Linked DNA regions of Caenorhabditis elegans. The protein of the gene in region 1 interacts with the protein of each later gene in a biochemical or structural test. Each region holds a gene or a part of one and is shown on either strand. Other genes may lie near its edges. The genes, in order: lst-1 and fbf-2.

Region 1 (12,598 bases):
ACCTTCACATCAATATCATTTGGTCCAAAGAATCCAGCATCAAGTCCAACTTCGAATTTCTCCGAAGTGTTGGTCACCTTCACGACACCATCGTTATGCTGAAGGGGCCAATCCCAAGAAGCCGCCGAGTCAGTTGTAATTGGAATTGTGTGCATTCTGAAATGTTGTTTGAATTATTATGTGAAAATGTACATAATTTCAACAACTGCAAGGAAGACTGTCTGCCTACCTACGAGGCGTCTCGTCCTATTGCGTGGGTACAAGAGGCCTTAGAAATTGTATAGTTAGTTAAACAATCAGCAAGCCCATTTAAAAAAAGATGAAAGATATGGGGTAGGCAGGCAGACACGAGGCAGGCACCTAGACATGAATTTATCCCAGAAAAGTTAGATAAAAATGTTTTACTCCCGTTAAAAAGGAGGAAACTCGTCACGAATTTGATCTAAAGTTTCAAGTAATTTAAATATTATTAACTTTTGAAATCTTATTGGAACACAAAGTTTTGAAAGCACGTATAAAGTTGTTTTTTAAAGTCACAAAATGTGCAAAAACTGTGATAATAAAGTTCTCAAGGCAAAGTGAAATGAAAGCAGAAGCTCCTTTCTCTCGAGAAGAACCCGAGAGAAATAGTGTCGGGGTGTAAAGTGCGATGTGTTCGATGAAAGAAGAGCAGTTTACTACAAAGTGTAATATAATTTGATCTCGAGGAACTCCCGTAGTGATAAAGTGCACAATAACACGAAAGTATATTGAAAGTTCGGTTGGATTGGGACATTTGTAGAAATCAGCTGAAAGCTACGGATGACGAACGAATGGAAGTTGGTCAAAAAAGTCAAAAAAAATTCATTGGATGGCAATTTTCATCAAATTTTTGATATCCTTTTCAAAAGTTTTTACATAAATGCTTGACTTGAGAGTTAGAATTTTCATATCAATATTGAAAGTTTGGTAGATTTCCCGCACACGACTGGAGCTCACGGGAGCCATTCTGGACAACCTTGATTTGAGGTTTTTGATAAAACAGTTGTTCATTTTTTTCAATCATACTCTGAAGTTCCAGAACACACCGGTATTCCAGAACACGTAGGAAATGACCCTTCTGCTTATTTGTAATTGTCTAATGTCTATTACACGTTGAATAACGTATTTCAATAAATAAATAAATAAATAAGTTCAGCCCCTGAATGGGATTTACAATTTTTTTTTGCCAACTTCAATTATCTTTCTCCTTTACAAATATCATTAAAATTCTGAAGAGATTATCCAAATATATACTTTGTATGTATTATTCGCGTCATCTTTTCAAAAGTTCTATTTTTGTGTGCAGAGTTATATGTGGTTGCAAGGTATCATTATAATTAATTACACACCAGAAATCCAAGTGCTCGCACTCGCAATGCTATACTCTGAAAACGGAAAAAATTGTCTACTTTTAAACTTGTTCAGAGTAAACTAACTGTGTTTGTTAGCTTTCATAGTGATAAGTCTCAATTCTGTGAAAATTGACTTTTCGTGGTTACTTTTACAATTTAATAAGTATCTAGAAATATCCAAAAACTAAATCTGAAGACAGATAGTTAAAAAAAATTGATTATGATTCATACTTTTCCAGACTAAAAAGTTTGCTTTAAAAAATCTTTAAATTGCAAATCTGAAAATTCTGTTAATTTTTTCCAGGGAAGCTTTTCGGGCGAGAGGTAAATCAAAAGATAAAGATATTGGCTACTTGAAATCAAAAAATTCACCTCTAAATCTGCAAATTTTTTTTCTGAAAAATCAGAGGGGGGGATCCTCTAACCAATTTACCTGTCCAGACTGATTTCACACATCCGGTTCTGCGAATAATTTTTAAAAATTGGCGTAAATCAGCCATCCTCATATCCCCAAAAAACCGTTCATCGGGATTAACTTTTTTCCCGTTCAAAAGACAAGTTTTGGCAGAACATCCAAAACTAATTGTCATAAATATATCATCATATGACTCATTTTTGTATGACACAACAACGTTTACTCTTATAATTTCAAAATAACTATTTTTTGCAATATGCCCAATATCAAAACTGTCAAGTTTTATTTGCATTCTTCGGTGAAGTATTCATGTTCTATTTGTGTGTGGTCAAAAGAAAACTGCAAAACAAATAGGAAACTGTACGAGTCTCATCGCAATTTGATTTCACAAAACGATCATCAAAACCACCAAAAACCGTTTCATTGAATGTGCTTTTTTCGTTCCATTTCCACTTCCTCCTTTACAAAACTGTTATCCTTTTTTCTGGAATTTTTTTTTTTGGGTTTTAGACACTTTCAGACTTTTAAAGACAAAAAACCTTACTGATATTGAGAAAGTCAAAAGGAAAATAGATCAAGATAAAAAATTGGTGTCGGACCATGAGATTCATGAAATTTTCTCGAAAATAAACTTTGCTCCAAAATATATGTTAAGCCTCTTTCATCGCCCTCCTCGTGCCCGTCCGCCTTCTGAAAACTAGATCCATTCGGAAAAACCAATGAAAAACGTTAAGAGATGTTTGCTAATTTTTTTTAAACGTTTGATACAAATTGCCAAAAGCTCCCTATAAGGCTTTTATGGTAGGCAGGCACTTATGCCTATCTATGCCTTCTTGCCTGTCTTTTGTTTTCTTCTGTGTTTGATGTCCACATAGTATTGTATAAATTCACACATTCAGTATTGTATTAATTCTACAGTATGCTCTAGGTAGGTAGGTAGGCATGCGACCTATCTTGGGATATTATTCGCGTCTGTTTACCTCTAATTTAGCAGATAATCCGTCGTTTTCGCAAACTTATCACCTTTTCAAATCTCTTTATTTCTCTGTCTCCCTATTCATAATAATTACTTGAATCCTTCCTCTTGTTCTCATATTCTCTCATTAGTTTCTCCGTCTCTTCCAAAATGTTGCTTTTACCGCGCGAAAGGGTGTACGTAGTGACACTTTGTCTCTGTCTCTCGAGGTCACCAATAACACGCTATGGCTCGAGGTGTCCTGTCCGTCCATATGAAGGTGAACATGAGAGAGACAGTGAGAGGGATAGAGACGTAGAGATATCGATATCAAAGAGTGGAAGAGTATGCAGATACGATGCGCGAGAAAATGAACAAGTAGAGGAAGAAGAAGAACACTGTCCCTCTCTGTCTTCATCGTTTTCTATGTTTGTCTTGACCTCTCTCTCTCTCTCTCTTTATTCTTTTTTCTGCTCACACACAGTCGTGGCAGGGCAGCAGCAAATAGAACCATAACGGGTAAGAAGTAGAGAGTGGGCGTCGTGTGTTCTTTTTGATGATTCATCACTGCTGCATCCGACCCGTTATTCGGGACGACCATTGACACTTTATCGTTTCATTTACTCCAATTACGTCCTTTTTTTGTCGTGACACTAGTTTCTGAATAGTTTTGTAGCATGTAGTTTATGGGAAAAATATTTGTTCTTAATTTTTAACTGAATTTTTTTAAAAGAAAAATACCACGAGCCCTGGCCATCTCGGCTCACTTCATAGATTTCAATAAGGTTTTCACTACAAAAATATAGCAAAATGAAATATTAATATTTTTGTGGAACTTTCCAAGGATTAAACAAAATATAATTAAGTTATGAGATGTCAAAGTTAAGCAGTAGTCCCCCTCCATGCACCAACTTTGGGAGCTCATATCTGGGTTGTGTTTTGATTTATCAAAAAATTACTAACTAACGAAAAGTTTATTATGTTCAATTTTGTACCTGCAAATTTAACCGAGATATAAGTTAACAAAGTAACAGTACTTGGGTGCACCATGTTTTTGTCGCTCCACTTAAATAGACCTTTCTTGGCTTATTATATAGTTATTAAAAATGTTTAATTACAAAAATATAGAAAAATAAATTATTATCACAATGTTAGTTTGCAATTTTTAAATTTAGCAAAAAGATAGTCAAGTTGTGAGCTACCAAAGTCTGAGAATCACAGGCCACCTTCTCTTTTCCGGAGGCGATTTCGGGTGAGAGAGGGTGATTGTGAGTTGCGCCCCCCGTCGAAAGGTTACGCGATAACTAATATTTAGTGAGTAAGTAAAATAGTTTAGAAACAAAATATTGGGTGGTTTACTCTAACCTCCCGAATGCCATCTAAATATTTACATACTGATAAAGTTCAAATAGCACACAGGTTTTTTGTGTACACTTTTTCACTTACTCGAAACATAAGATGTTCGCTATTTATTTAAGATTTTAAGAAGAAGATTACTTCTTAACTTATTACTAATAGTAAGCATTCTTCTAGAAAACTAAAATTTTATTTTTCCTCCAGCTTTAAAGTATTCGAATACTTGACCTCAATCTGTCTCTCATGTTCCTCCATCTGTTCAAATACGTGACAAAAAACTGATAAGAAGGAGAGCTTGCACTTGAAGTTTACACTTTTAATAATCTTTCAATTGTTACTACTGACGGCATTCCATTTAGTTAATCGGTTTATTGAATTTTGAGTGTGATTTGATAAAAAGAAAGTTAGTGAGAATTGAATCGCGTTCCTAGTGATAAAGTTTTTGGAAACTTTATAGTTTTCGTTGTTTTGTAGTTTTTTCTTTACAATCGAAATTTTATTGTATGGCACCAAAGTAAGCTAAAGGCACACAGGTCCATTCGGATGGGTCTCGCCACGAAAAAATGTTTTGATAGCCCATTTTTGTGGTGATCGCTGCAGAATTTTCAAAGATTTTTTCGTAGGTTTTCGGTAAAATTTTTTATAAAACTTAAATATTTATAAAAATTAGAAAAAACACATAAATTGTGCCAAATGTAAGAAAAACTATTTTGAAAAATCGATGAAAATTCGACGGAAACGAACATTTTGAATCTACAGTAGTCTCAAGGAGTACTGTAGATTTAAGGCGCAAACCTGCTTGTATTTAACATAAATTCAAGACCTGGTACTTTATTTTCGTCGTAAAAATTGCAAAATTTCGTACCTAGGTAATATTTTTATTTTTTATTTTTTTAAAACAAAATTTTCATGCAGTTCCGTTTTCAAAACGATAATAAAATCTTCGAAGTGTCTGAAATGTCGCTTTTTTGTTATCTTAAACCTTTTTTCCGTTTAAATTTAATGTTTCCTTGATAAGTTCCAATTTCCCAAACATCTGAGAATGCTTAGATATCTTCCCAAAATGTTTTCAAATTGACAAATGGCTGTATTGTTCAATGATTCATCTTGTCATTCTTTTCTCCTAAAGAAGAGGTCTCCATTCATCTTCTACCTGCCGTTATTGACCACCTACTGTCGTAGTTTTTATCGTTTCATTTAGTCACTCTAATTACTCTCATCTCTTTTCATTTTTCCCCCATTTCGATTGAAATTAGATTAGTTCCGATTGAAAGTGTTCGGATTTTAGGTTGATGAGGCTTCGATGACAATTTTACATTCCAATTTTAAAACTTCTATATTTTACGAACGAAATATTTCCAATTCCGGGACGCGTTGAGAGGTATGCGCCTTTAAGAAATACAGTAACCCGCTTGCAAGGAATTTTACACGTTATTTTTTTCTCGCTAAGATTTTTTTTTTGCCTTATTTTTCAGGTTTTCATGTAATTCTGCTTATTTTTGAAATAGAAAAACTAGAAAAAGCTTAAGAAAATTGCGAAAGGGGAGTGGGTTACTGTACATCTTAAAGGCGCACACCTTTTTGAGCGGCTTCGATTAATGGGAAACTATTTTCTTTCCCATCTGGGAACGTTTTTCTCAAATTTAATTGCTTGCCCAAGCGATTTTGAGGTTTTTTTTCAATTTTCAGACTAATCCAATGTTTTTTCTTTAAAAATAAACTTTTTGTCGATTAAAAACATGTTTTTAAATGTTTTTAAAGCCCGCGAAATTCAAAAAAGCTCTTGCATTCTTGCTCCATTGCATTTTCCCACGCCTCCCCCAGGCGTGGGAAAATACGTGGGAAAATGACAACTTTCCCACGCTTGTTATTTTCGATGAATTGTCCAATTATTCGTCGGTGCCATGTTCTTTCTCATTTCAAAAGAATTATTTGACTATTCAATCTTCGCGCGAGACAATGTGTTCGACTTTTATTCTTCCTCCAAGAGTGAGTTCACTTTTTTTTTGAAATTAAATATGTATTTTCTCTTTCCGATTGAATTGTTTCAACGATGATCCCGATTCTCCAACTTTCTCCATTTCTTTTATTACCTTCAGTTTTATAATAATATTATCATTTTTCAGAGAAACAACTGCAACAAAAGCAGTAGTACCATCGCCTACTCGAAGTCGCAACACGAGGCGCCGAAGCAAGTGAGTTGGAAGTTTTATTTTTCGTTTATATAAACGTGTCGAAACTGACCTATTTTTTGTCACGCCGTTCACGTGGCTTTCGTCACTAAATAGAATTTTGCGCTCCAAAAACAGAATTTTGCTCTTTTTTAATTAAAATAAATAATTTTTCATTAAATAGACGTAATTAATAAAAATTAATTTCAGCTGCTTCAACTCCGATCTGAAATCAAGCCGCTGATTCCGCTCAATCAACCTTCCAATTTTTGGGAATCCAGTCAAGATAGCGGAGTTCTCTCCAGCTTGTCATCTTCTCCCCAACAACGTTCGGGCCTGAGAAGTCAAAAATTGCATTTGACGTATATAGAGAAGAACAAGAGAGTTCGTGCAATGATTCCACAACAACAGCATTATCATGCATTTGATCGCCCGACACACTACAATTCTCGAAAAACGTCTGGCCCACCACCACTGATGAGAACACCATCTTCCGGATTTTCGTCGGCTTCTTCGTCGGAGAACATGTTTTCTGGATTGACATTGTCAGACAATGAGAACAAAATCCACGAAATCATGGATCCATCAGTTGACGTGGATCTTGACATGTTTCTTTTGCCTGATTGTCGATACAAGCAACCAGTGCAACCATCAACCAGCACATCCCGTAACAATGTGAGCCAGATCAGCGGGTCGAGTCGTCTAAATGGATCCACGAGACATGTCGCACCAATTGTTCCAAAAGTTGCAATGCCGGTGAGTTTAAAATAAATTTTAAGTGATTTTAAAGAAATCAAATTATAATTTTCAAAATTCAATAAAAATTTACTTTTTTCAGTCGGAGTTATCATATGCCAACGTGAAGCGTTCAAGTGGATATGTGGATTATATGCCAACAACTTACAATTCCAACGTGACGTCCAATTCGTCTGCAGCATCGGTTCCAATGTCTCCGGGCACATGGGTTCGGTGTCACTATTGCTGGGAGTCGTATGTGAAACTGTGCCAACGAGTTGCAAATCTCGAACCACTCATCTCATGTGATGGCCCATGGAATTGGCATACACTTTATGATATGCAAGGACGAGTCACGTATGTTTTTATTTATTCTTTGAAATCTAAAAATTGATATTTTTATCGAAACACGACCTAAAATTTTCTTTTAAAAAATTGTGTTGGAATTCGTAATTTTTTCGATTTTTAAATATCTAAACTTCGAAAATCTAATAATTTTTTTAAAAAAATCTTCTCAAATTATTATTATTTCAGATGTCCCCGACTGTGGTTTGCTCAACTCGATCGTGCCGGTTCAGAAATGGTCGAACAAATGGGACACGCTCGAAATGTTCCAGTCTAAGCAATAAAATTGGTTTAAATATCAATTAATTTATATTTTACCACCCCCTTCAAATGTTCTTCTTGTTTTACACTATCATCCAAAAAAATGCGGTTCTCTTCTTGATTCTTTTGTTGACGAATACGGGCATTCCGTGTGAGCGTTTTTCTTTTTTATATTAATTCTTTCTGATCCTTATTAGCTCCTGCCACACACACCATTTTATGTTTAACTTACATATTACCACCATCCCTGTTTTTTGATCCCCTTCCCTTTTTTAATAAAACATAATCAACTGTGCGAATTATGTGAATTTCAAATCCCATCCAATCTTTCGCTGTATATCCATGTGCTCTTTTGTCTCTGGTGGGATCTTGCCCGATAAAATAAAGATGTCAAATATTTACTTTTCGCTATTCTTATTCATTTATTGGCAGGAATTTCAGAAATTAAATCTCAAATTGGGATGAGGCACACAGTTGAAGATTTTCGGAATTTTCCACACATTATTCATCGATCACTGGAAACATAATATCATGCGCGAATAGATTGAACATGCTTCAACAAACTTCTCGAAGGATCGATGCATAGGGGTGCTCCAAGAGGCTTCTCGTGTGTAATATTTGCCGTGATTACACTCATCCACATCTCGCGAACTCTCCGCCTTTCCCTCTTTTTCCTGTTTCTTCTCGAAAAATCTTTACTATTCGACACTTTTTGTGAACATTTATTTTTCTACTGAAACTTCTGAAAATGGCTGTAAAAAAGAATAAGAATGTGCCAAAACAGGAGGATCCATTGGTTCAGAAAGACGAAATTTCGTCGATTCATGCTAGAATTAAGGTGATTTTTTTTGTACTTATTTAATTTCTTAAAAATCAAATTACAGATTTTCGAGACACCGTTCGCCACTCAAGTTCTCAATCCAAAAGTGAGCGAATTCTGTGCAAACTGTCTTCGTGGTCCTGCTCCAGGAGAGAAGCTTCTTCGTTGTGGTGGATGTAATTTCTCAATGTATTGTAGTAAAGAGTGTCAGGCAACTGCCTGGTTAGTTCATAAACCAGAATGCAAAAGACTGAAAGCTGTGGGTTTCTAACTAAAAATTGGAATTAATATTAAATTTGAGAGCTTCCCAAATCTTCCACTCACTGAAGTTTTGTTCCTTTCAAAAGTTATCGATCGTATTCAGTTTTTGGAGAAAAATGGAGATAAATTGGGAATTGAGGCAGAGAGGAAATTCTCGAGTTTGGTTGACCATAAGGTTGATATCAGGTGAGAATAATTGAAAAACTGGTGAATAGGATCTTTCAAGAGTCAAAAATCAACGATTATGTCAATTTAATTAGATTTTGTCGCGACTTTTCGTATCTTTTCAGTATAAATTTTTCTAGAGCACGAAAACATACCAATTTACTAAACGCTAACGCGAAACGCGAAATAGAACAAAAATCAGAATACTTTTAACGAATTTTTCAGCAAAATTGGAATTTTAACTATTTGTTTAGATGGTATTCTTCTAATATTCGATTAAAAAAATAAATGTTCTTACTTTTGTTCATGCTTGTTACAAATAAAAGCCAAAATGAATTATGAAAAATCATGAAAATACGAAAAATCGCTAGGAATCTAAAATATTAACTAATAGTTAATTGTCCGAGAGGAGTACACGCGCGAGTGCACTGGAGCACTCATTTGCGCGCGAAATTCAAATTAGATTAACGCGGAGGTCGATTTTCAGCTTTTCGAAGCCATGGAATAGGCGTTTTAAGATATTTGAAAAATATCAAAAACACAATTTTAGAGACGACGAGGAGAAGATGGCTCATTTTGAGAAAATCTTCGAGAAAATGGGAGCCTTCCGAGGAGAGGAAATGATTGAAAAAGGCGAATTCTTCGATGTATTCTGTAAGGCTACAATCAATTCTCACAGTATTCACACAAATGCTGGAAATGAAGTCGGAATGGCTCTTGATTTGGGTGTTTCAAAGTATAATCATTCATGTCGTCCAACATGTTCAATGGTTTTTGATGGATATCGTGTATGTCTTCGACCACTGGTTCCAGGTGTTGATGCTGAAAATACTGAAGAAGCATTCATTTCGTATATTGATGTGGGAAGAAGCAAGTATATTCGAAGAAGAGATTTAAATTCAAGATGGTATTTTAATTGTGAATGTACAAGATGTATGGATCCAGAAGATGATGCATTGACAGCTATTCGATGTGCAAATCCGGCTTGTGATGCTCCAATTGTTAGTTTTTTTTTCAAAATCTAAACGCTTTTGCAGGAAATTCAAATGTTCAATTCGATCGGTCGATCTAGTGTTACAATTTTCTGAAACGTATACTTAGAGTACTGTAGCTGAACAGTTTCGCTCGTCACGAGACCCGAGCCCTTTGAATTGGCAACAAAACTTGCTCTAGAACTTAATTCATTTTCTGAAGAATCAAAGCGAAATTCCAGCTAACATCTGAAACTGAAGAACCAATGAACATTGCTTGTGAAAAATGCAAAACGATTGTCGAAGAGGATACTGTAAAAGCAGCTCAAGAATACATGAAAACCCTTCCAGCATCATTTGATCCAAAGTGTCCAGCAGAAATTGTAAGTTTTCTTTGATTATTATAACAATGTACTGTAATCTTTGTAACTTTCTGAAAAGTAAAGGCGCAAGAATTTATTAGGATAGGCCTCGCCACGAAGAACTGTTTATGGTAGCACGCGGTGGGACCCATACATATATAGTTTAATAAAGCCTTTGCAATATTTTAATTTTTAAGCAAGTTTTCAAATGATTAGCTTTGGTTTAAATTGAAATATTAATATGTAGAGTTCTGAATAAAATAGACAAAACTCTCGGTAAATGATAAATCCCAATTCAGGAAGCTCTTCCAGGCAAGGTTTGTTTATTATATTCAAAGGCGTGTGTTCTCCTCGGACACTCCTTCCCTGCTTTTCCCTACGATTTCTCTCCCCTCCACAATTTCCCCATCTTCCTCTCCGACATTATTATCCATCACTATTTTTCGTTCTCCTCTACGCTTCAAATATCCTCGGTTCCCAGAAAGTTTTCGTCGCATCGGTGGTTCAGTGGTAGAATGCTCGCCTGCCACGCGGGCGGCCCGGGTTCGATTCCCGGTCGATGCAATTCTTTTTCGTTTTTTACCCTAGAGCACATTCATTCCAAAACCCCCCAGCTTCTCATAGGGCTCCAGTAAACTTTTTTAATTTTGACTTTTTAGCTCAAAGAACTCCTTGCAAAAGCCGAACAAATACTGCATCCATCAAATGTCTACGTGGCAAGACTCAGAACCGCATTATTCCACGTCACAGGAACTCTTACGATGGATAATCTATCCTCAATGCATACACAAATCTACAACAACTATAAAATGTGTTTCCCGAAAGCAGATCGACACGTTGGATTCCAACTTCTTCATATTGTAAAAGCATTAATTGAAAAAGACGAGAGAGATGAAGCCATGCCATACGCATTTGATGCTATGAATATTTTCGAAGTTTGCTTTGGATTAGACCATCCATATTACCTTCAAACTCTTGCATTGTGGACTTATTTAGAGAAAAAGGTATTTAAAATTTTTTTAATTAAGAGTTTTTGCATTAAAAATCAAAAAAATTCAGATTCCAAAATCAACCGAAGAACTCGTTCAACTCACAAATTTCTCCGATAATCGTCCAATTGATATTGTGAGCCTCCTGAAAAGAGCCAACATGCTTCCACCGCCACCGTATGCTGCTGGTACTCCAGGTGTTGCTTAACCGGTTAAAAATTTTGCTTCATAAAATTTTTAATTTTGTTTTATTTTTTCAATTGTTGGTAGCCCAACGTTCCTGCTAATTTGTTATACGTTCCTCTGCAATAAATAATTGGTTTTTAAAAAATTCATTTAAAACTTTTAACTTCGACACTTTGAACATCGAAACGTGAACTTTTCTCTATAAAAATCGAAATAAACAAAGTCTACACTCAAAATAATAAAACTGCGTGGCGTGTACTGCAGAAAACCTAATATTTAGGCCCCGCCTTTTTTTCGTCCACTCACGGGGAAAAGGCAGAATTCGGGGACCAACCAATATCAGGCCGCCGACATCTCATGGGTTCCGCGCGCCGCTATGTTTATCTCGCAGCGGGCGGAGACAGCTTGCCACACCCACAACGAGTTAAACATAGCGGTGCGCGGAACCCATGAGATGTCGGCGGCCTGATATTGGTTGGTCCCCGAATTTTGCCTTTTCCCCGTGAGTGGACGATAAAAAGGCGGGGCCTAATTATGAGGTTTTCTGCAGTACACGCCACGCAGTTTTATTATTTCGAGTGTAGTCTCTTATAAAAATTCAGAAATTTTGAATTTCGACTGCTCATTTCGAAATATTTCATATTAAAACCAAAAAATGTGTAAGTTTTTGGAATTATTTATATTCAAAGAAAAATGAATATGTTTCAGCAACGAATGAATTTGAAAGAATAGATAGTCTAGCGAAGATATGTGATGATCATGAGAAAAATCTACGTCGATCACTGGAAAATGTTTCTCAGCGGAATACGGTATACACTGTTTGCGCGTAAATTATGGTGCATTCAGTCGGTGTTTCAGCATTTTCAGAGCTAATTTTCAAAGCTAGTTTTCAAATCGCCTTTAAGTGGTACAGTAGTTTCCCGATGGTGAGACTTACTTGGGTCTCGCCACGAAATAAATTTGTGATAGAACTTTAAACAGCTACTGTACTTCTTAAAGGCGCACATACCTTTTATTTGTTTTCATTAGAAAGTTTTTGGTTCACCGACAATGCGTGGCGTTTGACACATAAATTCAGTTTGAAAAATAAACCTGAATTTGTCAAATTCGTAACTATTATTAACAGGAAGTGAGTGAACTCATGAGTCTCCGTCTTCATCAAATCACTCAAAAAATGGGAAATCTGAGATCAAAATTTGATTCAGTTCATACTCACAATCAAAAGGTAATTTA
Region 2 (13,327 bases), on another chromosome or scaffold:
CACCGTTCGCATGGCATTGGAAAATACTGCCTATATGCTTCCACATATTGAGTCATTTTCGCAAGGACAAGGAATGATCAAGATCGCCACTGCGTATGAAAAACTTTCCGAGATTTTAGTCAATAAAGTGTTCCCACCAAGACTGACACATTTCGAGATCAATGTATCGAATCACTGCAAGAAATCGAAAGGTGTATATGTTCGTGAGCCTAACTGGAATGGACCGCAGGAATTCACGATTGGCGTTGAACCAATTTTCCAGAATCATCTATCTGATAACAATTTACCTGCAATCAGTTTTGAGAAACAGATTATTTTACAATCAACTGCTCCATGGGTTTCTCATCCACAAACAATGTTTGTGGTAGCTCAAGAAAGAACAATGGTTGTGACCGTTGATGCATCAAAAGCACCAAAAGGTGCAAACTACACTGAAATTGTTGGAATTGATACGGCTGATCCATCATTGGGACCGATTTTCCGTATTCCGGTTACTGTAATCAATCCTGAGAAGGTAGCGGTTGATCAATACACTTCTAGACTTGTTGGTAAATCGGGAGTCACCGAAAGACGATTTGTCGAAGTACCGTCGTGGGCAACCAGTGCAAGTAAGTAAAAAATGAAAATTAAAGAAAATTCTATTAATCTCATCATTTTACAGAGATAACACTCCGATCTACTAACAAAGACGAAATGGATAGATTTACACTTCATACGGTCTACATTGAGGATGATAAATGTTCCCGAAACACAGAAACTCAAAAAATACAGGGTCCAATTGGAAATGAATGGAGCAAGTCGATTACTGTTCAAGGTGGAAAGACTCTTGAAGCATGTGTTGTTCGTGCTTGGTCACGTGGAAAGAATCCTGTGGATGTTGACATGACCATCGACTTCTTTGGAGTCAAAAAGCCAACTTCTATTTCACTGATTCATGGAGCAACTAACACGCCCATTCGCTTCCAAGCTGCTCCAACGAAAAGTATCGACGTTTCTCCTTCGATTTCTCTAAAATCACTTGTTGTATCACTGAAACCACAATCTGCCAAAGTAGAACCATTGGGACCACGTGATATGTTCCTTACGTCTGGACTTCAAATCAATCGTCTTCTGTTGACTTATCAGCTTAAAGGTAACCTTTTTTAACTACATAATTATTAAAATATTATTTTTTCAGTTCAAAAACCAAGTGAAGTGCAACTTCAACTTGCTGGCCTTACTCCATATTTGTATGAATCTCCTGTGGACTGTGTACTCTTCCAAATTTTCGGAGCAAACAAGTCGTTTGTGGGTGCTTCTTCTTCGTACCCGGATCGTTGGACTCAGAAGCTTGAGAAAGGAGATTATACTATTCAGGCTCAGATTAGATATCCGGATGATCAAGTTTTGCAAGGAATGAAGGAACTTCCTCTGCTGTAAGTAATTCTTTAAATTCTAACTGAAATGATTTTTGTGTTTCAGTGTTCATGTGAAACTTGGAAACAAAATTTCTGTTGACCTCGCAGCTTCTGCCAGCGATGCAACACTTGGAAAAGAGTGCAAATTTGCTGGAAAAGCCCTTCTTCCAAATCAAGAAATGACCGTCTACGCTATGAATATCGCTGATGATAAATTGCCAAAGACTATCGTACCAACAAGTGGAAGTTTCCTTGCTGGAACATTTAGTGCTCTCAAGGATTCTGATTTGAGTGATGTAGACAAATCTGAAGTTATTTACTTTCTCAGTGAGTACTCTACTCGTCCTACGAAAGGATTGTCAATGGTTACAACAAAGAAAGATACGAATCAAAATCAGGAAATGACTGGTAGATAATAATTAAAAATTGTATCTTTTATTAAATTCATATTTACAGACGCCATTCGCGATTTGGAAGTATCATGGGTGCAAAAATTGACAGACGAAAAGGCAGCGAAAGAATTTTTCGAAGCTTGTCTGCAGAAGTATCCAGATCATCTCCCACTACTTCAGAATCGAGTAAAGCAATTGATGCAAGCAAAACTTGTGGATCAAACACCGGAAAACGTGCAGAAGATTATTGAATTATGTGGTCAAATTTTGCAAATCACAAAACCGAATGAAACTCTTCAGTTCTCATCCGTCAAGCAAGAACATGATGATGATCTCCTTACTGTTGACAAATGGCTGGCACTAACCGGAGGCAGTGAGGACCAGCGAAAGGATGTGGTGAAGTTGATTTCACAATTTGAGGAACGGAAGAAAAGTATTATTCTCGCTTTGCAAGCTCTTTCATCATTGGAGCAGGATATTGAAGTTCGTAAGAGCAAGTTCGACGTTCCAGCAAGTCTTCGTTTCGGAGGAATCACTCCTCTAATTTTCGGTGGAAAGCAAGGAGAAGTGATCAATAAGAAGTCTGAAGGTTATGAAGCACTGAAATCAAAATCTGAACAAATTGATGCAACTGTCTCTGAAGAACTGAAAAAGTTGGATAGTAATTGGACTGGAAATCAGTTTTACGTCAAGCTTCTCGTTTGGTTGTCTGCTGATGATACTAAAACTGCACTGATCTCTGCCAAACATGCAGCTGCTCTTGGACAATTTGGAAGATGTGCAAAGCTTCTCAACAAAGCTGGAGATGAACTGAAGTCGTCTGCTACTGATTCGCAAGCTGTTGATACATCATTGGCTGAAGTCTGCGAAAGTCTCGAGTGGAATCATCTTGCTACTCACTTTAAAAATTCGGCTCTGATCAAAAACAGAACCTCCTACCGTCTTTTCTAATTAGTGTATCATAAGAAATTTCGCGGGTTTCTTTTTTCTGGAAGCTTTTTTGCTTCCATTTCCGTTGTGAATCAAATGATTTTCCCATTTGAATAGATAAACTTTTATTGTTTTATAAATGAGATCAAACAAAAATTTTGCAGAGATACATTAAAATTATTAAGAAGAAGAATGTTCGAGGTTGCGACGAATTGATGCATGGCATGTACTCACAGAAGTTCCACCCAGTCATGTGGGTGAGAATCTTCTGATATTGGCAGTATGATTTGACAGCACTATTTCCACATGATTTTCTCACTACTGCTCGCTCACATTGTGTGGTTCGTGATACGGAGCTCAAAATTAAAAACTAATCTCAATAAGTCTGAAACTATTAGACTCACTCGCAACTGCCAACTTCCAAAACGGAACATTCAGTATAAATCGTGTCAGAGAGATCATTCAAACTGATTGCTTGCATACATTCATAATATGCCACAACTGAAATATTTATAAAACAATGAACGAGAATGAAAAACCTCACAATCATTTCCATAATTACAATAGAATTCAAGAAACCCCGTTTGTGAGATGTAATAAGCTGCATTGCTTTCTGAACCAAAAATTGCATTGAAAGTGTTATAGTTGAGACAATCATTGATGACGTCACTATGACAGTGACGTAGAGTTGTATATGTACTGTAATTATTCGTCTTTTTTAAAAATATTTATTCTAGCATGTAAAACCGGTTCTATTGAAATTCTTCAATAATTTTACAATTTAAAAGGTGTTGCAATGTTGTAATACCTTCACATACCTACACATTCCAGTGGCATCGTACCGAATTTTCTTAAATGGATCTTCGTCTGCTGGGGGAAGGCTAGTCACATTTGAACCATATGATTGAAACATATCTATATAACATTGTTGTAGCACTTGATCTTGATCAGAACTGCAGTTATGCAGCACTCCTTCGTTTCCCGCTACGGTTTGCTTCACTAGACCTGCTAAATCAACTTCGAGTGTCTCTAGCGATTTAGTAACGATCGTAACCACAACAACGAGAATATTCCAAATCATCAAATATAGGGAAAGAAAATTTTGTGTTTCGAGCAATTTAAAGTGTTTAGTCTGAAACAGAATAGCTCGTAAAATGTCGTCACCGTCAGTCGACCGGTTTATAGCTTTTCGGGAGGTTGAAATGTGTTTATCAATTTGATATGTTACGGTCCCGGAATTTTCCAAAAATTTTTATTGTTTCTAGTAATCATTAGTAATCAAATTGATAATTATTTTAAATACACTTTTTAATTCTTGAAACATGTGATTAGAATCTCGCATTATTTGAAAATTTCAATTTGGTTACGGTAGACAATGACAAAGTACGCAAACACCAGAGTATGTGACACACTTTCGTCATTTGCGAATTCGATTTTAAATATTATTTTCATATTCCCATTCCTATTTTCTGTGAATTGATAATTTTTCTATGAGTAATCATTCTAATAAAATTATCAACTAATCGACATGGACCAATCAAAGATGCGCAGAACGAATCAGTTCAGAAAAGTAAGTTTTCAGTAACTTCTAAAGAAACAAATGGCCTAAGTTTTACAGACTTCCCAGAAGCCTCCTTCTACAGGGATTGACAGTTATCCGACTCCCGCACAATCACCAATGGCGCAGCATGAGACACCTATGTGGGACTTCAACTCTCTCAACCCGTATTTCTCAATGCTCAATATGAACGATGGGATTAATTATGCTCGCCATCAACAGAATCACATTGTTACATCGCGGCCACCAACCCCGCTAACTGATTTGATGAGCCTTCGGAGTTTTCAGAGCTTTGTAAGTTAGAGTAGGCAATTTTTGGTTGTTTTCATTACTGATTTGCAGCCCAATGTGTTCATGCCGGTCTCGCGTAGCCGAACTTCATCATTCATTCAGTCTGATACGGATTCCTCGCGTCTCGAGTCGGATGATTTTTCACAAAATGTCCGATGTTTCTCTGCGGATATTGATCGTAGCAAGAGCTATGGTTCTTCAAAACACTACCATTTGAAATATTCGAGGTTCGAATTAATTTATCACTATCCTCTAGTATTTATTCTTTTTTATTTATAGACCCGCTCTGTCGAGGAACTCTAGATCATTCACAAGATCAAACAATGTGCTGCCAACCTGGTCCTTGGATTCCAATGGTGAAATGCGTTCAAGATTGTCGCTCTCTGAAGTTTTGGATAGTGGCGATTTAATGAAGTTTGCCGTTGACAAAACTGGGTGCCAGTTCCTAGAAAAGGCAGTGAAGGGCAGCCTGACATCTTATCAGAAGTTCCAATTGTTTGAACAAGTTATTGGGAGAAAAGATGATTTCCTTGTAAGTTTTAGTTTCTGCGAGCACACATGACTTTTCTTTTCAGAAATTGAGCACGAACATCTTTGGAAATTATTTGGTACAAAGCGTTATTGGAATTTCATTGGCAACTAATGATGACGGATACACAAAGCGACAAGAAAAGTTGAAGAACTTCATCAGTTCCCAAATGACAGATATGTGCTTGGACAAATTTGCGTGTCGTGTTATCCAATCCAGTCTCCAGAACATGGATTTATCCCTTGCGTGTAAACTTGTTCAAGCTCTACCTCGTGATGCTCGTCTTATCGCAATCTGTGTTGATCAAAATGCCAATCACGTCATTCAGAAAGTCGTAGCAGTCATCCCACTGAAGAATTGGGAGTTTATTGTGGATTTCGTTGCCACCCCAGAGCACCTCCGTCAGATTTGTTCTGATAAGTATGGGTGCCGTGTTGTGCAAACTATTATCGAAAAGCTCACTGCTGATTCAATGAACGTTGATTTAACTTCCGCTGCTCAAAATCTTCGTGAACGAGCGCTCCAACGACTCATGACTTCTGTGACTAATCGGTGCCAAGAATTAGCTACGAACGAGTATGCCAATTACATAATACAGCATATTGTATCCAATGATGATCTGGCCGTTTATCGGGAATGTATCATAGAGAAATGCCTCATGTGAGTGTTATTGTTTAATATCTACTTGATTTTTAATCATCAATATTTCAGGCGCAACCTTCTTTCGTTGTCCCAGGAAAAGTTTGCTTCTCATGTTGTTGAGAAAGCATTCCTACATGCACCATTGGAACTTCTTGCCGAAATGATGGACGAGATTTTCGACGGATACATTCCACATCCGTAAAAACATTAGTTTCAGTCACATAAAAATGAAATGTTTTTTCAGGGACACGGGAAAAGATGCCCTCGATATCATGATGTTCCATCAATTCGGAAACTACGTCGTTCAATGCATGCTGACTATTTGCTGTGATGCTGTGTCTGGAAGACGGCAAACGAAAGAAGGAGGCTATGACCATGCAATCTCATTCCAGGATTGGCTGAAAAAGTTGCACTCGAGAGTTACGAAAGAAAGGCATCGCTTGTCAAGGTTATCACTATTGTCACAATAATATTTTGAAATTCGAAATTCAGGTTCTCATCCGGCAAAAAGATGATCGAGACGCTTGCCAATCTCCGTTCAACTCATCCGATTTATGAACTCCAATCTTCGGGACACGATTCATTCAAGACGGATTACTTCAGTACTGCTTCCGAGCACGATGGTCCGGAGTTGGAGAAGAATGGGATCGAGGAAGGAAGCCTGATGCTAGAGCCACGGAGCAATAAGTCTTCAGTCTCTGTCAAATTTTCTTCTTCCGGTAGTCACGGCGATGATTAAGGTGGAACTTTCTCACCATAAATCTCATCCCACCCACTTATGTTCTGTTGTTTTGTAATATTTTAAACTGGTGCAATGATTTCGTTTCGATTTTAAGATCGATGTTGTGCCTTCCCCACTCTTATCATTGCCCAGTTTTGTTTTTTCTTTTCTTTTTTGTTATTTTATTGCTTTTTATGCAGTTGTGTTATTGTTTCTTTCTGTTTACTGTTCATTGTTTTTGTTAATTTTTTATTTTCGATTTTAATGAATCCAGATAAAATTAGACAACTTGGCAAAATATCGTTCGAGTCTTTGTCATGCTTCCACCGAGAGCTTCCTGCTTCCATACAATGCCTGCTCAGAAAACAATTTTGAAAGCGAAGAGAAAAGTTGTTCTTTGCTCGGAGAACAAAAAACTGATAACCGACAAATGTTGACTTTGTAAATTTAATCAAATTAGAAACCATGAAGAATAAATATAGTTCAATTATCATATTGAAATTTATCTTACAATTGCATCGATTTCAAAATAATGGGACTCTCAGAAAATAGAAAAACAAAAATTGGATACTGGGGATGAGGAAGAACTCCGCGAACATTGGCGGTCCTTCTCTCATGTGGTCCTCGTATAGGTGGTGGCAATCCTCTCATTGTTATCCAACATCGAGAAAATGTTCTTCGGCTAGAACTCTGAAACAAAAATACTTTCAAATTAAAATTGTCAAGATAAATTCGTACTTCCTGACACAATTTGTGTTGTTGCAGCGTTGAATTCGATTCCAAACCAAGTGGCAAGACCAAGACCCAGCAATGATGATGGAATAGTTGAATTGACAGAATTCCTCGAGCATATCAGCAATGGATGTTGATGCAAGTGGATGCAATGTTCTTCTTTTGTTTCTCATCAACGTTTGCCTTATGATTGTGAAGTGACTTGATGAACTCTCTCTGCCATGCTTAAAGAACTTGTTCAGCAGCAATTTCGTTCCATGCATCAATGTCTAATCCAGCCTTCATAGAGTTTCTTCCAGGCTTCTGCTTGAATCTCAAGAAAACATAGGCGGGGCTTGCAACGAGAAAAACTGATTGAAGAGCATCATCTCCTGATAGTTTTCCTCCCTTCTTGGCACGTCTTGGATCTCCTAGTATCATATCTTCAAGCCAATTAAGAACGTTAGATGCGAAACCAGAACATCCACTGTGTATACATATTCATCACTTCGGACCATTTGTCTTTGTTATCTTTCAACCATTCGAAAACAGACTTCCGGTATTATTTATAATCTGAAACATGACTTTATATTTTAATAGAAAAACGAATTTACTTAAATACAGTCTTTCAATTCTCTGGCTTTTTGCTTTTTCTCTTTTTCTTCTGCAGCTCTGGTTTCCTCCGGTGACAAAGTAGTCGTAGTTGGAATAGGAGCAGTTGTTACTGGAATATTTGCTGGTACTGCATCTTCAACTGCTGGAATCGCATCTACTGGTCTTTATTCTTAATCTTAAATTTTATGGCAAATACTGTTTTACTACTTGATCTTTTACTATGTATCTCTTTTACTACAAGATCTCTTTTACTACGGAATCTCTTTTACTACGAATTCCGCATTTAGATCTTTTACTACAATTGGCTCTTTTACTACGTGATCTCTTTTACTACCATTTGACCACATATATCTTTTACTACGGAAAATACTTTTTTACTACCTCATTTTTTACTACGTGGATCTTTCACTACGGTTTTTTATTCCGATGTTTTGCTACAGTTTGTATCTTTTGCTACGGTAGACATTTTTACTACAATGGCAGGGATTGTACTTTTCACTATGTTTCGTATCTTTTACTACTAATTTTTTACTACGAATTAAAAATTAATGTCTATAGTATTTTATATTCTAGATATAAACAAATGTATGAATTTTTTTTCAAAATACATAGGTCATAATTGTAGATGGAGTTAATGGAGGGAGACTGTTGAGTTACTGTAGTGGTATTGTGGAAATAACAGTTTTCAGATTATATAGTGTTTTTTTTAATTTCTGGAAATTTATTCACTATGAAATGAGCAGAACTTATTATGGCCATTTGGATCTAGAAATTAAAAAAAACACGATATGATCTCTTGCTCTCTTGTAAAACTTTTGTAAAAATTTCAGAAACATTTAAAAAGTCCTCTATAAATGTTTTAAAACTCAGAAGATTTTCTGAAAATGAAAATGTAGGTATCCTATCTCGGTCGTCAATTTATTTGTCATAGTTTTCAACTACAAAGTTGTTGAATATGGTATGATCTACGATTTGTCAGTTGAACATTTTTTTACCAAATTGTTTTTTCGCGGAGATATCGGTACTTGGAGTCAATACGTTTTATGAACTAACTTTTGACAACTTATCTCCGTTTTTTTTTCAAATCTAAAATCGTGATATAAACATTCAAATTGACCGAAAACAATAATAATTTTATACAAGATTCGATAAATTTAGAAAAAAAACATTTCTAAAGTGTTGATCAAAAGTTTCAAAATGTCAGCTGAAGTCAAAATTTTAAACACCTGACAGATAACTGACCGAACCCGCAAGTTTTTTATTACATTATAGACTTATACATATAGACATTATAGACAAAACTTATAGAGCAACGGGTATGGAACTAATTTGTTGGCTATGCGAAAAAAAAAAGAATTACTCCCACAATACCACTACAGTAACCCAACAGTCTCCCTCCATTAACTCCATCTACAATTATGACCTATGTATTTAAAAAAAACTATTCATACATTTGTTTATATCTAGAGTATAAAATATTATAGACATTAATTTTTAATTCGTAGTAAAAAATTAGTAGTAAAAGATACGAAACATAGTGAAAAGTACAATCCCTGCCATTGTAGTAAAAATGTCTACCGTAGCAAAAGATACAAACTGTAGCAAAACATCGGAATATGAAACCGTAGTGAAAGATCCACGTAGTAAAAAATGAGGTAGTAAAAAAGTATTTTCCGTAGTAAAAGATCTATGTGGTCAAATGGTAGTAAAAGAGATCACGTAGTAAAAGAGCCAATTGTAGTAAAAGATCTAAATGCGGAACTTGTAGTAAAAGAGATTCCGTAGTAACAGAGATCTTGTAGTAAAAGAGATACTTAGTAAAAGATCAAGTAGTAAAACAGTATTTGCCTTGAAGGCAGTAAGCAAATTCGTTTTTTTTTCTAGTAAAATATAAAACCACGTTTCAGATTGTAAATCATACCGGGAGTCTGCTTTCGAATGGTTAAAAGATAACAAAGACAAATGGCCAGAAGTGATGTCTGAAAACATGTACCCACAGAATGTTGATTACGCAGCAGAGATGACTGGAGGATGTTCTGGTTTCGCATCTAACGTTCTCAATTGGCCTGAAGATATGATACTTGGAAATCCAAGACGTGCCAAGAAGGGAGGAAAACTATCAGGAGCTGATGCTCTACAATTCGTTTTTCTTGTTGCAAGCCCCGCCGATGTTTTCTTGAGATTCAAGCAGAGCCTGGAAGAAACTCTGGAAACTCTCTCTCTCTATGAAGAACATTGCATCCACTTGCATCGACATCCATTGCTGATATGCTCGAGGAATTCTGTCAATTCAACTATACCATCATCCTTGCTGGATATGCTCTCATGCTGGCATATGCTATTGTTACTAATTCTCGATTTGACAACTGCCTTCCGGCTACAGAATCATCAATGGGGGTTCGCCCTTGCAGGAGTTCTTGTCGTCACATTCGCTTCAGTGGCAGGTATTGGTCTCGCCACTTGGTTTGGAATAGAATTCAACGCTGCTACAACACAAATTGTACCATTCCTCACTCTTGGAATCGGTGTTGATAATATGTTCATGTTATTGCACAACTATCGTGACGTTGTTAAACTTGCTGGCGGACACGCTGAGATGGCTATCCTGATGCGTGAAACTGGAATGTCAATTCTGTGCACTTCGATCAACAACATTCTTTCCTTCCTCACTGGAACTCTTCTACCAATTCCAGCTCTGCGATCATTCTGTGCTCAGTCCAGTATTCTTCTCACATTCAATTTCATAGCTATCCTTACAATCTATCCAGCGATCATTTCTATTGATCTTCGACGAAAGAAGGCTCAGCGTCGTGATTTCGACACTAGAGAAGAATCGTACTCGATGATTTCTAAACCAAAGATTCAAAGTAAACGAATTATTGGAGCACTTCGGAAGCTTCGATTATGCAACAGTTCGACGGAATAACTCAAGCGCAGATGGCATCGAGCGATGATCCAGCTCCATGGTCTCTTCATTCATTCATCCGTTACTACTACATTCCATTCATTTCTAAACCAGCATCTAAAGTAGCAATCATCGTTGGCTGCTGTGCTTTGCTCGGTGCATCATTTGTTGGAATGCGTCAGTCGACACTCGGTCTTGAATTGGGAGATGTTCTACCAGAACATACTGCACCTGCACAGTTCTTGAGAGCCAGAGACAAGTACTTCAGGTAAGAAGTTCGTTTTTGATTCAAAACATTTTTTTTTCTTTTTTCAGTTTCTACCCAATGTTCGCAGTCATCAAGGGACCTAACATTGATTATGCTCACCAGCAACGCCAGATTGACAATTACCGACAGTCGATTGGATCTTCAAAATATGTGATTAAAAATAAAAACGAAGAGCCATCAGAAAAGTATTGGCTGGGATTAATGCGAGACTGGCTCATTAGTATTCAACGCGGATTCGATGAAGAAGTTGCTAAAGGATCATTCAATCTTACATCTGGAACAGTTATTGGCAGCAATGTTTCCGAGGATGCTCGTCTTGCTCACGCTCTCATGTGCTCTCATGGTTCTCTATTTGAGTGTGCTGGAAGAATAGGAAAGATTCGACTAGTTGATGCAAGTGGAATTATCAACTCTGATGGATTCTACAACTTTCTTCCCAACACCACCAAAATGGGAATTGAGCAAGAATAATACCGAAAACTTCATCCCAACTGCTGAGCCACTTGCATATTCGCAGATTCCATTCTACTTAACTGGCCTCACGGATACTGCTGTGATTGTCGATGCCATAAAGGACATCCGAAGTGTTTGTGAACGATTTACCGATCAAGGACTTCCAAATTTCCCACAAGGAATCGCATTCACATTCTGGGAACAATATCTTTTCTTGACTGGAAATCTTATGCAAGCCATTTCGATCATTACCATCTCTGTCTTCTGTGTCATTTCCGTTCTTCTTTTTAATCCATGGGCTGCACTTATGGTTGTTTGTATTCTCGGAATCATGACTTGCGAACTTGCCGGATTCATGGGACTCGTTGGAATTAAGCTCAATCCGGTTTCAGCCGTAACTTTGATCACCGCAGTTGGAATTGGAGTCGAATTCACTGTTCATGTGGTTGTCTCATTCCTGACGGCGCTCGGAACAAGATCTCAACGAACGTCATCTGCAGTTGATCGAGTTTTTGTTCCAGTAATTCATGGATCATTCTCCACACTTCTCGGTATTTTGATGCTTGGATTCTCAGTTTGAGTGAGTTTTACAGAAGTATGGATGTCATCAGAATTTTATTTTTCAGATTTGTTGTCAAATATTTCTCTATTGTCATGACGGCTCTGATTTGCATTGGAACGGACTAATTCTTCTCCCAGTTTTATAATCTTGTTTTGTTCCAAGAAGAGAGATAAAATGTTTTGTTCCAAGAAGAGAGATAAAATAGAGATTCCGTAGTAAAATATCCAATTGTAGTAAAAGATCTAGATGTGGAATTCTTAGTAAAAGAGATTCCGTAGTAAAAGAGATCCTGTAGTAAAAGAGATGCGTTGTAAAAGATCAAGTAGTAAAACAGTATTTGCCCAAAGTCTGACCAGCGAATCATATCATCAACTGACAGCGCACTCAACGACGTCCCAAGTGATCGGAGTGAGGATTTTGGGAGAGATGGATGCGGCTCAAAAGCTTTCGATCCATCGCAAAAATAATCTATTGGAGTAATCCAAATGCATATCATATCGATGACGTCACCAAGCGAGGAAGCGGCAGAATCGGCTGCGACAGATGGTGGAGCTGGTTTGAAGCAGATGTCGGATAGAGACCAGTCCCTAAAATGATCAATTGTTACAAGAAAAATATATTGGTAGTCTTCACTTACACTCCATGAACTGAAACGTTGAAACTAGCGATGTGCTTCATAATCTCGGCGTGTTTTAGAAGAGCGAAGAGGTCCTGCAGCAAGTGCATCTTGTCCCACACGTTTTTTTTATTTTCCAATAATCCACATTAATTGTAATCAATGTTGCAATCTGAAAAGTGAAAATCAGCTAAATCAGAAAAAAGGAAACAACTTACGTTGAGAGTTTAAATATATAAAAACCAGCCGTTCGCACGCGCTGAAGCGCGTGCTCCGACTGGCGTACTCAAAATTAAAATCAAATTCTGAAATTTCTGAGCCTTTCTTTGCAGATGAAACGTTTTTCCCTGTTTTCCGGAAGTTCTCGAGCAACATAAATATCTACAAACTATGGAACAAACGGCCTTCATTCCGAGATGACAAACTTTTTGGTGGCAAAGGTTCTTTGGGGGCATAGTATCCAAGGAGACAAAGTATCCAGTAGACAAACTGGGGTGTATCTTGGGGGGCATATCTTTGGTGACAACCTTTTTTTCAACTAGATTTTTATATGTATTTTTCAACTAATTTTTGTTCACATTTTTCTGGAATAAGTTTTTTAATGCAATTTTCAATCGATTATCGGTTATAATTCCCTCACAATTAAATGTATGAACGATGGTCTTTTGGGAAAAGCTGTAAAAGGTCCAACTAACTTGGAATATCGTGAGGCTCTTCCTGATGGTCTGATCCTTCAG

Evidence for each region.
Region 2: the proteins of lst-1 (region 1) and fbf-2 are reported together in a solved structure, tested with the Caenorhabditis elegans proteins (one study listed by BioGRID).

What each region holds. Positions count from the first base shown.
Region 1 is NC_003279.8:10,582,454-10,595,051, forward strand, and holds lst-1 (Lateral signaling target 1 protein), read left to right. Parts: upstream 1-6,047; 5' UTR 6,048-6,058; coding exon 6,059-6,088; intron 6,089-6,219; exon of another isoform or gene 6,220-6,225; coding exon 6,226-6,294; intron 6,295-6,480; coding exon 6,481-7,026; intron 7,027-7,108; coding exon 7,109-7,362; intron 7,363-7,539; coding exon 7,540-7,627; 3' UTR 7,628-8,011; downstream 8,012-12,598. Other genes in the region: hsp-12.1 (SHSP domain-containing protein), read right to left, coding at 1-155; Histone-lysine N-methyltransferase set-18, read left to right, coding at 8,360-8,449, 8,496-8,690, 8,733-8,878, 9,408-9,858, 10,071-10,211, 10,490-10,507, 10,850-11,194, 11,250-11,387; T22A3.12 (Cilia- and flagella-associated protein 157), read left to right, coding at 12,021-12,024, 12,074-12,174, 12,492-12,590. UniProt on the Caenorhabditis elegans protein: Plays a role in germline stem cell maintenance, perhaps acting in concert with mRNA-binding factor fbf-2.
Region 2 is NC_003280.10:6,082,293-6,095,619, reverse strand, and holds fbf-2 (Fem-3 mRNA-binding factor 2), read left to right. Parts: upstream 1-4,139; 5' UTR 4,140-4,247; coding exon 4,248-4,289; intron 4,290-4,337; coding exon 4,338-4,571; intron 4,572-4,619; coding exon 4,620-4,795; intron 4,796-4,847; coding exon 4,848-5,100; intron 5,101-5,143; coding exon 5,144-5,757; intron 5,758-5,808; coding exon 5,809-5,937; intron 5,938-5,983; coding exon 5,984-6,187; intron 6,188-6,231; coding exon 6,232-6,478; 3' UTR 6,479-6,757; downstream 6,758-13,327. Other genes in the region: tpp-2 (Tripeptidyl-peptidase 2), read left to right, coding at 1-608, 662-1,132, 1,178-1,415, 1,462-1,805, 1,854-2,740; nspg-3 (DUF19 domain-containing protein), read right to left, coding at 2,865-3,075, 3,124-3,220, 3,264-3,418, 3,538-3,800; F21H12.3 (uncharacterized protein), read right to left, coding at 12,114-12,561, 12,612-12,700. UniProt on the Caenorhabditis elegans protein: RNA-binding protein that binds to the consensus sequence 5'-UGUGCCAUA-3' in mRNA 3'-UTRs. Involved in the control of stem cells and sex determination in the C.elegans hermaphrodite germline.